Linked DNA regions of Oryzias latipes. The protein of the gene in region 1 interacts with the protein of each later gene in a biochemical or structural test. Links are inferred from orthologs where the notes say so. Each region holds a gene or a part of one and is shown on either strand. Other genes may lie near its edges.

What was found. The genes of interacting proteins can lie anywhere in the genome.
Region 2: the proteins of hspg2 (region 1) and fibulin-2 form a complex in vitro, tested with the Homo sapiens proteins (2 studies listed by BioGRID). The link is inferred for Oryzias latipes from reciprocal best matches to the Homo sapiens genes HSPG2 and FBLN2.

What each region holds. Positions count from the first base shown.
Region 1 is NC_019865.2:23,380,635-23,384,134, reverse strand, and holds part of hspg2 (basement membrane-specific heparan sulfate proteoglycan core protein), read left to right. Parts: intron 1-140; coding exon 141-266; intron 267-377; coding exon 378-566; intron 567-2,165; coding exon 2,166-2,285; intron 2,286-2,514; coding exon 2,515-2,646; intron 2,647-2,950; coding exon 2,951-3,095; intron 3,096-3,500. UniProt on the Homo sapiens protein: Integral component of basement membranes. Component of the glomerular basement membrane (GBM), responsible for the fixed negative electrostatic membrane charge, and which provides a barrier which is both size- and charge-selective.
Region 2 is NC_019865.2:17,508,126-17,512,265, forward strand, and holds the start of fibulin-2, read right to left. Parts: upstream 2,801-4,140; 5' UTR 2,738-2,800; intron 1,056-2,737; 5' UTR 968-1,055; coding exon 1-967. UniProt on the Homo sapiens protein: Its binding to fibronectin and some other ligands is calcium dependent. May act as an adapter that mediates the interaction between FBN1 and ELN.

The sequences.
Region 1 (3,500 bases):
TGGAATTATTTTGCTCGGGTCCATTTTAAAATGGAAAAGCTCAAAATACCGTACTGCTCAGTGGAAACAAGGCTGAAGGGTCATTTTCTTCCATGTGTATAATCCTTGAAAATGTACCTTCCCTCCCTTTATATATATAGTTGTTCCCATCATAAGACCCTGCATGGCAAATGAGTTCAGGTGTGGTGATGGAACGTGCATCCCGTTGAATTACAAGTGTGACAACAGAGCTGATTGCCGGGACTTGAGCGACGAGGAGACCTGTGGTAAGCGGCCATTATGATTATCCTCTAGTTTTGTAGCTTGCTGCCTAAGTTCCATTAAAGCAATCCATTTCTTTTTTCTGTCTTGCTAATAATCAACCTCTTTCCTTCTAGGTTTTATCGCTCCAGTCTATACAACACCTGCACCAATCACAGTCCCTCCCATGAAAGTTTTGCCCCCCGCTCCACCTTTACGCTGCAGAGCGGATCAGGCCACATGCCAGAGTGGGGAGTGTATCTCTCGTGACTACATCTGTGATGGAGAACGGGACTGTGCAGATGGAAGCGATGAATTCAGATGTGGTAAGAAGTTGCACAAGATATGTAGTCTTCTATTGAATGCACTTGAGTGAAAGTTCAATTAAACACAGCAGAGAGCCATTTGTGTTTGGTGATTTATTTATTTGCTGTGATAAAGCTTCTTGGCATTAAATCCTACACAGTTGGGAAGCCAGTTTATTTCCTTTTTAAATGGTGCCACATTTAAACAAGGAAACAAACAAGACTTTTCACCATGGAATTTTAACACAAACAAAGATACTAAAATCCCCCAAATTCAAATATTCATACTTTTTGTGCTAAGATTTCTCGTCGAAGATGAATTCTTTATTTAAAAACTATTAAAAGTAAATTTTTAAAAGAAAATCTATCAAGGCAAAGCACTCTTTGAACCCTTTTAATAAAATTAAATATAAAAGAAATGGGATACTTTTCATTTTTTTCACATAGAACAAAGGTATCTCTAAATGCATTTTTACCTAAATAAAAGAAAAAGTCTGTCTGGAAAAATTCTTTAGACGAATCTGTGTTCCTATGAAAAGGTCTAAATTTAAATTACAGTACAGACCAAAAGTTTGGACACACCTTCTTATTCAAATTAATGGGAAGGTGTGTCCAAACTTTTGGTCTGTACTGTTTTTAAAGGTTATGTAAGGTCAAGTAGCTACAGGTAGTTGCCAGAGGATTACAACAGTTATAATGTAATTTAACCAATCACAATCAATAACATATTCACAGTTTTTAGAAAGTGCTAGGGGCCAGATATTACTGATTTTATGACAAAGGCATGTGGGCCAGTAAAAATTTGAACGTAGGCCGCACTTGGTCCACAGGCCGGACTTTGAACATGCCTGTTCTGTATTAACAGAGAATTAAAAGGCCTTTATCATGCTATTCTTAAGCCCTTCAGCGTAAACTATATCCAAATACATGATAATATATTACCTTTGGAACACTAAATATCAACTTTTAAATGAAAAATTAGTTATTTTCCCAGCTAATTTTCCTACCTGGAAGGAAGACTACTGGATCTGAGGCACCGGCTTTCAGTCGGTGTGAGTGTCGCCCATTTCATGACGTCAACCTAGAGCCGGCCTTGGCAGCATGTCTGCATTTCGCCCACGAAAACAAACATCTGAACTTTCGCAAAGATTAACAAATTCTTAGTTGGATTTGATATGGTCATTCATGTTACAGAAAGAGTGTTTCAATTACAGAAATTTAAATTCAAATCCATGAAAATATTTCAACAACCAAAAGCCAAAATAAGTACACTTTTTGGTATGTGGTATTTTATTAACCAATACTTTTTTTTTGGTTAAATTAACAAGATCAAGGTACCTGCAAAAAAAGCCCATACCCTACCAGCTACAGCAATGCAAATGTGTCCTCTGTAAAGGACATTTCTAAACCTGAATACCTCCTGACCACTGGATACTACTGAATTACCTCATTTTGGTATCTACAGAAGACATTTGGGGCTTTTCAATGTTACCAAATGTGAAGGGGTGGGGCACTGGGAATTGTAGTTTAGCTGGGTTTTTATTCACCAAGAAAAGTATTGTTTTTCCTGCCCTCAAAATTTGTACCTATATTACCTGAACAGCTTTGCATGCTTTTTAGGCACTCCATCACCTTGTGAGCCAAATGAGTTTAGGTGTAAAAATGGCCGCTGCGCCCTCAAGCTTTGGCGCTGCGATGGTGACAATGACTGCGAGGATAATTCTGATGAAATGGACTGTCGTAAGTCTGAACTCTGTTCTTTCCATGAGCTGAAACAACAATTTCCATCTGTATTTTAAAAAATAAAGGGTTTTTTTTCACTGACATGCTGAAAGTGCTCATTTTTGTGAGCTGTTACGTTGTTGTTTATGATTACCAATAAGACAACCCTATCTGACAACTTGTTTCCCAAATCGCCGTCCCAAAATATCAGACGTGTCTTTCTGTTTCTATCTATTCATCACTGCAGCTACCAAAGGCCCTGAAGAGCAGTGCGCATCTAAGCACTTTGAATGCGTCAGTGATCGCAAGTGCATCCCAGCTAGTTACCAGTGCGACGAAGAGCCGGACTGTGCTGATCGCTCTGACGAGTACGGCTGCAGTAAGTCCCACTCCAGCAGCTGGATCTTTGTTTTCTCTCATGAACATTTCAGTCTTTTTTTTTGGCACGCATGCTGTGACAGATTAGCCACAGCTCTTGTCAAACATCTGTTGAGTGAGAAACATCTTTTTCTGATAGACTCATTCGTGAGAACTTGAAGGAAATTCTCCATCCATACTTGGGAGTTAGGTGTCAGGCATTTATGTTTCTTAGCCGGGTAGCCAAAATGTACTCACTTAGCGGCTCTTATTTGTGCATGAATAGATGTCTTGTTTTTCTCTAATATCCATTTGACACTTTTTAGCCCCTCCCACTGTAACAACCCCACCAGAGGAGTCCATCCAGGCTGTACGGGGCTCAACTGTTATGTTCACCTGTCGGGCTGTTGGCGTTCCAACCCCAATGATCACCTGGAGACTCAACTGGGGACACATTCCTGTGAGTGGCAGGTGAGTTGATTTTCTTATATTTGGCTTAACGTATCAAAAATCCGCCCAAATTTTGTTAAAGTGTTTCAGAGTTTTTTTTTTCTCTTAAACACGGTCCTTGGGGGCATATCTTCTGTACCATATGTTAATCGCACCATCATCAAGCTCTTTTCAGGCCCAATTGTCAGGGATGCACCAGTTTTTTGCTATTGTCACACTGCGCATGTCACATGCGTTGTAGGATGAGCTAAACACGCAGTTTTGAAAAGACATTTAGCAGATGCTGTTCACACTGGACTGTTGCTACCCAATTCTAGCACATGAGTTGGCACTAGAGTTGGAAAAAGCTTGGTGCGAAATGTCAAAGTGGTGCATATCTTGCAAATTATGCTCCAGGCTTTTTTTTACTGCTCTTTTCCGATATCT
Region 2 (4,140 bases), about 5.9 Mb from region 1:
TCTCTGTGGCCATTCCCTCCTTGGTTGTGGTTGTAGGTGATGCTCTGGTTTGCGCCCCTGCAGAAGTTTGATTCATGCTCTGTGAAGGCTTTTCTTCAGTGCTCCTCACTAGATTAGGTTTTCTTTGAGTTTGCTTCTTCTCATTCCTCCTGCCACCATGAGAGATTAAAGTAGCATTTGACTCTGGGTAAGACAAGGGCAAGGTACTTGATTCCACCAGTTGGGCCAAATTCAAAATAGTAGAAGATGTTGGTTCTTCCCGAGAGTAGTCATGGTCCTCTGAGCCAACTCTGGGTGGGTCCTGTTTATACAGCGGCAGAGTGTTTCCCAGTGCAAGCTTGGAAAAGGGCTCCACAAGACTTTTTTGTGAAGTGCCATGCCCGCCGCTTATGTCTCTGAATGGGCTGCTGTTCCCAGTAGTCGTCACCCCTATAGACTTATCAACACTGTGTAAGTCACAGTCAGGGATGGGTGAGCACATTATCTTGCCCCCTTCATTTGGACAATGACAAACTTGGCAGTTGTCTGCCCGAAAAGAGTGTCCTGCCTCATATTTCTTGTTGCCGTGGGTACAGCCGATCCGCCCACACTCAGAGCATCCATCTGCAGGTTGTAAAACATCAATGCAGTTTGGGGGAATTTCAGGACACTGAATGAAACGACAGCTTATCTTCCCTCCTCCCTGAGGACAGGAGCATTCCGTGCTTCCGAAATCCACAAAGTAGGATTCTCCCTCTGGGACTCTCCCGTTTTGGAAGCCAACTTGGATACAGTCGTAATACTGGTACCCTTCGCAGATGCATCCCCTTTCCATACATTTGGGGCAGCAGGCACCTGTCTCTAAGACAGTTTCGATGCAGTTTTGCAGAACGGGACAGACCACACCTGAGCAGTCTTTCTGGCTTGCACAGATGTCCAAAGTTAAAATCACAAAGCAGAAAAAAGAGGAATACTTCTGAATCGTCATTCTGCTGAAAAAAAGATGCCAAAGTCTTAGCTCTTCAGAAGTCTTGAGTCATTTGTTTCCAGGTTGGACAGAATTTAACCTTTTTTGCCTGTGAAAGTGAACAGGGATTAGTCATATATTTACAGTTCACACTGGAACAAATTAGGGTCTTATTATGTGGTTTGTGTTCTAACCTGCTTTAAAGCATATTCAGTTTCAACCTAATTACCTATCTGCATCCGTTTTATCACCTGCGGAATGTGTATTTTTCTAAGCCGTTTGCTGTGACATGACACAGCAGGAAGGATGTGGTTTTTGTTTGATTTCACATAGAAATTTGCCAAGAAAGCTTAGCGGAGGAAATGTGTGCAATAATGACCCAACACGTTTTTCAGCTGCAACAAAGATGGTGCTTTTATCATGCCGCACATACTGAGCCTGCCACATGAAAATATTTGATGTTTTGTAAAGACTGCAGCTTTTCTATCATTACTAATGTGAAAATATATCCTAATTAGGTAACCAACATCCTTAGAGTTTAGTGGGAACGCTGGAGATTAATGCGAACGTGTTTGCAAAGAGGTTAAGCTGGTGGAGCACAAACTGTTTTGGCAAACTTCTCCCCTGCAACTGTTGGCACTGGCAGAGATTCAATATTGTGATTGCATTCAGCGAGCTTAAGAGCTTTTCTTCTTCTAACATACATACTGGAAATGGCAACACCAACTTTATCAGGTGTGATTTAGTGTGACTTTAAATCCCGTGAGATATTGAAAAACTTGCATGCTATTTCTGTTTTGCTTTTTTTTTAATCTAGTGGTCTAAATGATTGGTGTTTTCACAGCAAGGTAAATTTCAGATTTATCAGATAGAGCTATGGTTAACTTAACATCACCAATGTTAGGCCCTTGATACACTTTCCCACCTTAAAGGTTTGTTTTCTTTCAACAGAAGCAACCTTCAAAGTAAAATTGCCATGCATATTTTGAGTTAAATGTGAGCTAAATGTGGAATGCATTTGCTTGAAATCAGATTAGTTCACCGTAGGGTCCATCAAGATTTATTTGATATTGAAAACCTTCATAGTTCAGTCATAAAACAACCTAAAACCTGATGGAACTCTGTTTGGTGAATCAAAGAGGCCTTTGTGTGCAGAAAGGTACAGAATCATTTTACCAGATCTCAAAGTCCCCAACTGGCACAGGCTGACTGTTATGGGGCTTTAATAGTACCCTACCACTGTCAGCTGTAAAGGCACCAAAGTTCATTTTAAGCGACACAAAAAATTCAATAAAAAAAAAGAGAGATTGTGGCACAAAGGGTTTGCAACCTAAGTGAAAAACACTGTAATGTTCTTCCAAAGAATAATGTAGAGTGGCTGATTGATCAGGACTGACCCTTACCCTTACCCTTATTGTGTTTGTGCGCATGCACAGCATATCCACTTTCAAGAGAGTGCAAACAAACGCACAGAGCCAGGAGACAATAATGCGTGACAGCTGCACATAATATACCCGTGGAGGTCCAAATGTACACTTCAGTTCATTTGTGATGAATCACGCTGTCATATGATCTTTTAACTATATTAAAGGCTTGTTACATTCCTGGCAGGGTCACGACACAGCCTCCTGAGAAAGAGCAGGCTCATATGATCTCTTCAAATCAGCGATGAAAACACTTTAACACCAGAGTAGTTGCTCATGCTCGTGTGATGCCCCTTGGAAATCAAAACTCGCTGTTTTCAAAGTCGTGGAGAGTTTTTAATTGTAGGGAAATAGAGACTCAGCTTACCTCCTGCTCCCGCTCCTGCTGCGCTTCAGAGCTTCTGACGGGACGTGTGCGTAAAGTTTGCGCCCTGATCGCTCCTATTTAATCAGGGGAGCGCCCCTGCGCTTGAGGGCGGGACAAACCTTCACAGACAAACTTTTCCAGGCTACTCTTTTCTTTTTACTAATTTCTTTTCAACGCAGTTCACCCTTTAATGCGAGAAATGATGACATGGAGTGGCATTTCCCATAAATTTGATCATCTAACTTCTAAGTGACCCCAAAGTTGATTGGAATAGAGAAATTGAACTCTTTAAAGAAAACTTGTCTCAGTGACATAAGCAGAAGCTTCCTTGTCATGTGCCAATTATAGGGATAAGCAATAAACAAAGCACAAAAATAAGACGTGCTTCATTTCTTGCATTCTTTATCAATTTTTTTGTTATTTTATTTGTTTTATTTCTCTACTATTTTTATCTTAAATGTAACCTAGTGACTAATTCGAGTGGAAAAAGAGAAAATCTGATTCTTTGGGTGAATAGACTGACTTCAAGTGCCTGAAGTGCTGGTGGGCCATGTGGTCACTTTGTCTAAGGGGTTTCCTTTGAAGGAGCAGTGACAGAGATCTGTTGGTTTCCTATTATTGGTTTGCTCTGTTCTTTTCATTCAAATGCAAGCAGGGCTGCACATGCTGTAAATGACTTCCTGAGTTCTCTTGAAAAGGTTTTCCCAACTGAAATTTATGATGCATAATACCCCGAAACAAAAACCTTTGTAAAAAGGCTAAACAAAAAGCACACAAGAACACACAATTCCTTTAGAAAAATTGGTTATTCAACAGAACTTTTGCATTTTGAGTGGCTGAAACGACTGCTTTAGAGTCAGAATTACATGTAAATCAGCACAAACCTTTTACCTATGTCTCTGAGCTTAGGTTCATCCTGGTGGTACACTCACATTCAAATTCATAATCTGATCACATACAGAGACAGAGTATGGAGCTTCCTGCATAAAAGAGGGTGTTGACTCTGTGCAGAAATTGTGAATACTGGAGTACAACCGTCATTCTATGGGTATTCGAAAACTTGGCAGGCAGAAATGCCATCAGAGGTATTTTGTTGTTGATTTTTCAGACATTTTGCAAATTTCTAAACCACATAAGTATTTCTTGTGAAGGACTACTGTGATATGGTTGTAAAATACTTCAGAATGTTTTGAAAGCGAATTATCTCCTCTGTAACAACAGTATGGTTCTAATCTAAATTCTACACTGTCAGCGCTCTAAATATGAAAACAAATCAGCTGTGCAGTAACAAATACAAACAATATCCTCACAAACATCTGACACCACATCCACTCTAAAGAGATTTCCTGGTGTTGCAGGGAGCAAATAGCCTGTTCCCTCATGTAGTATTTGACCTCCGTTGA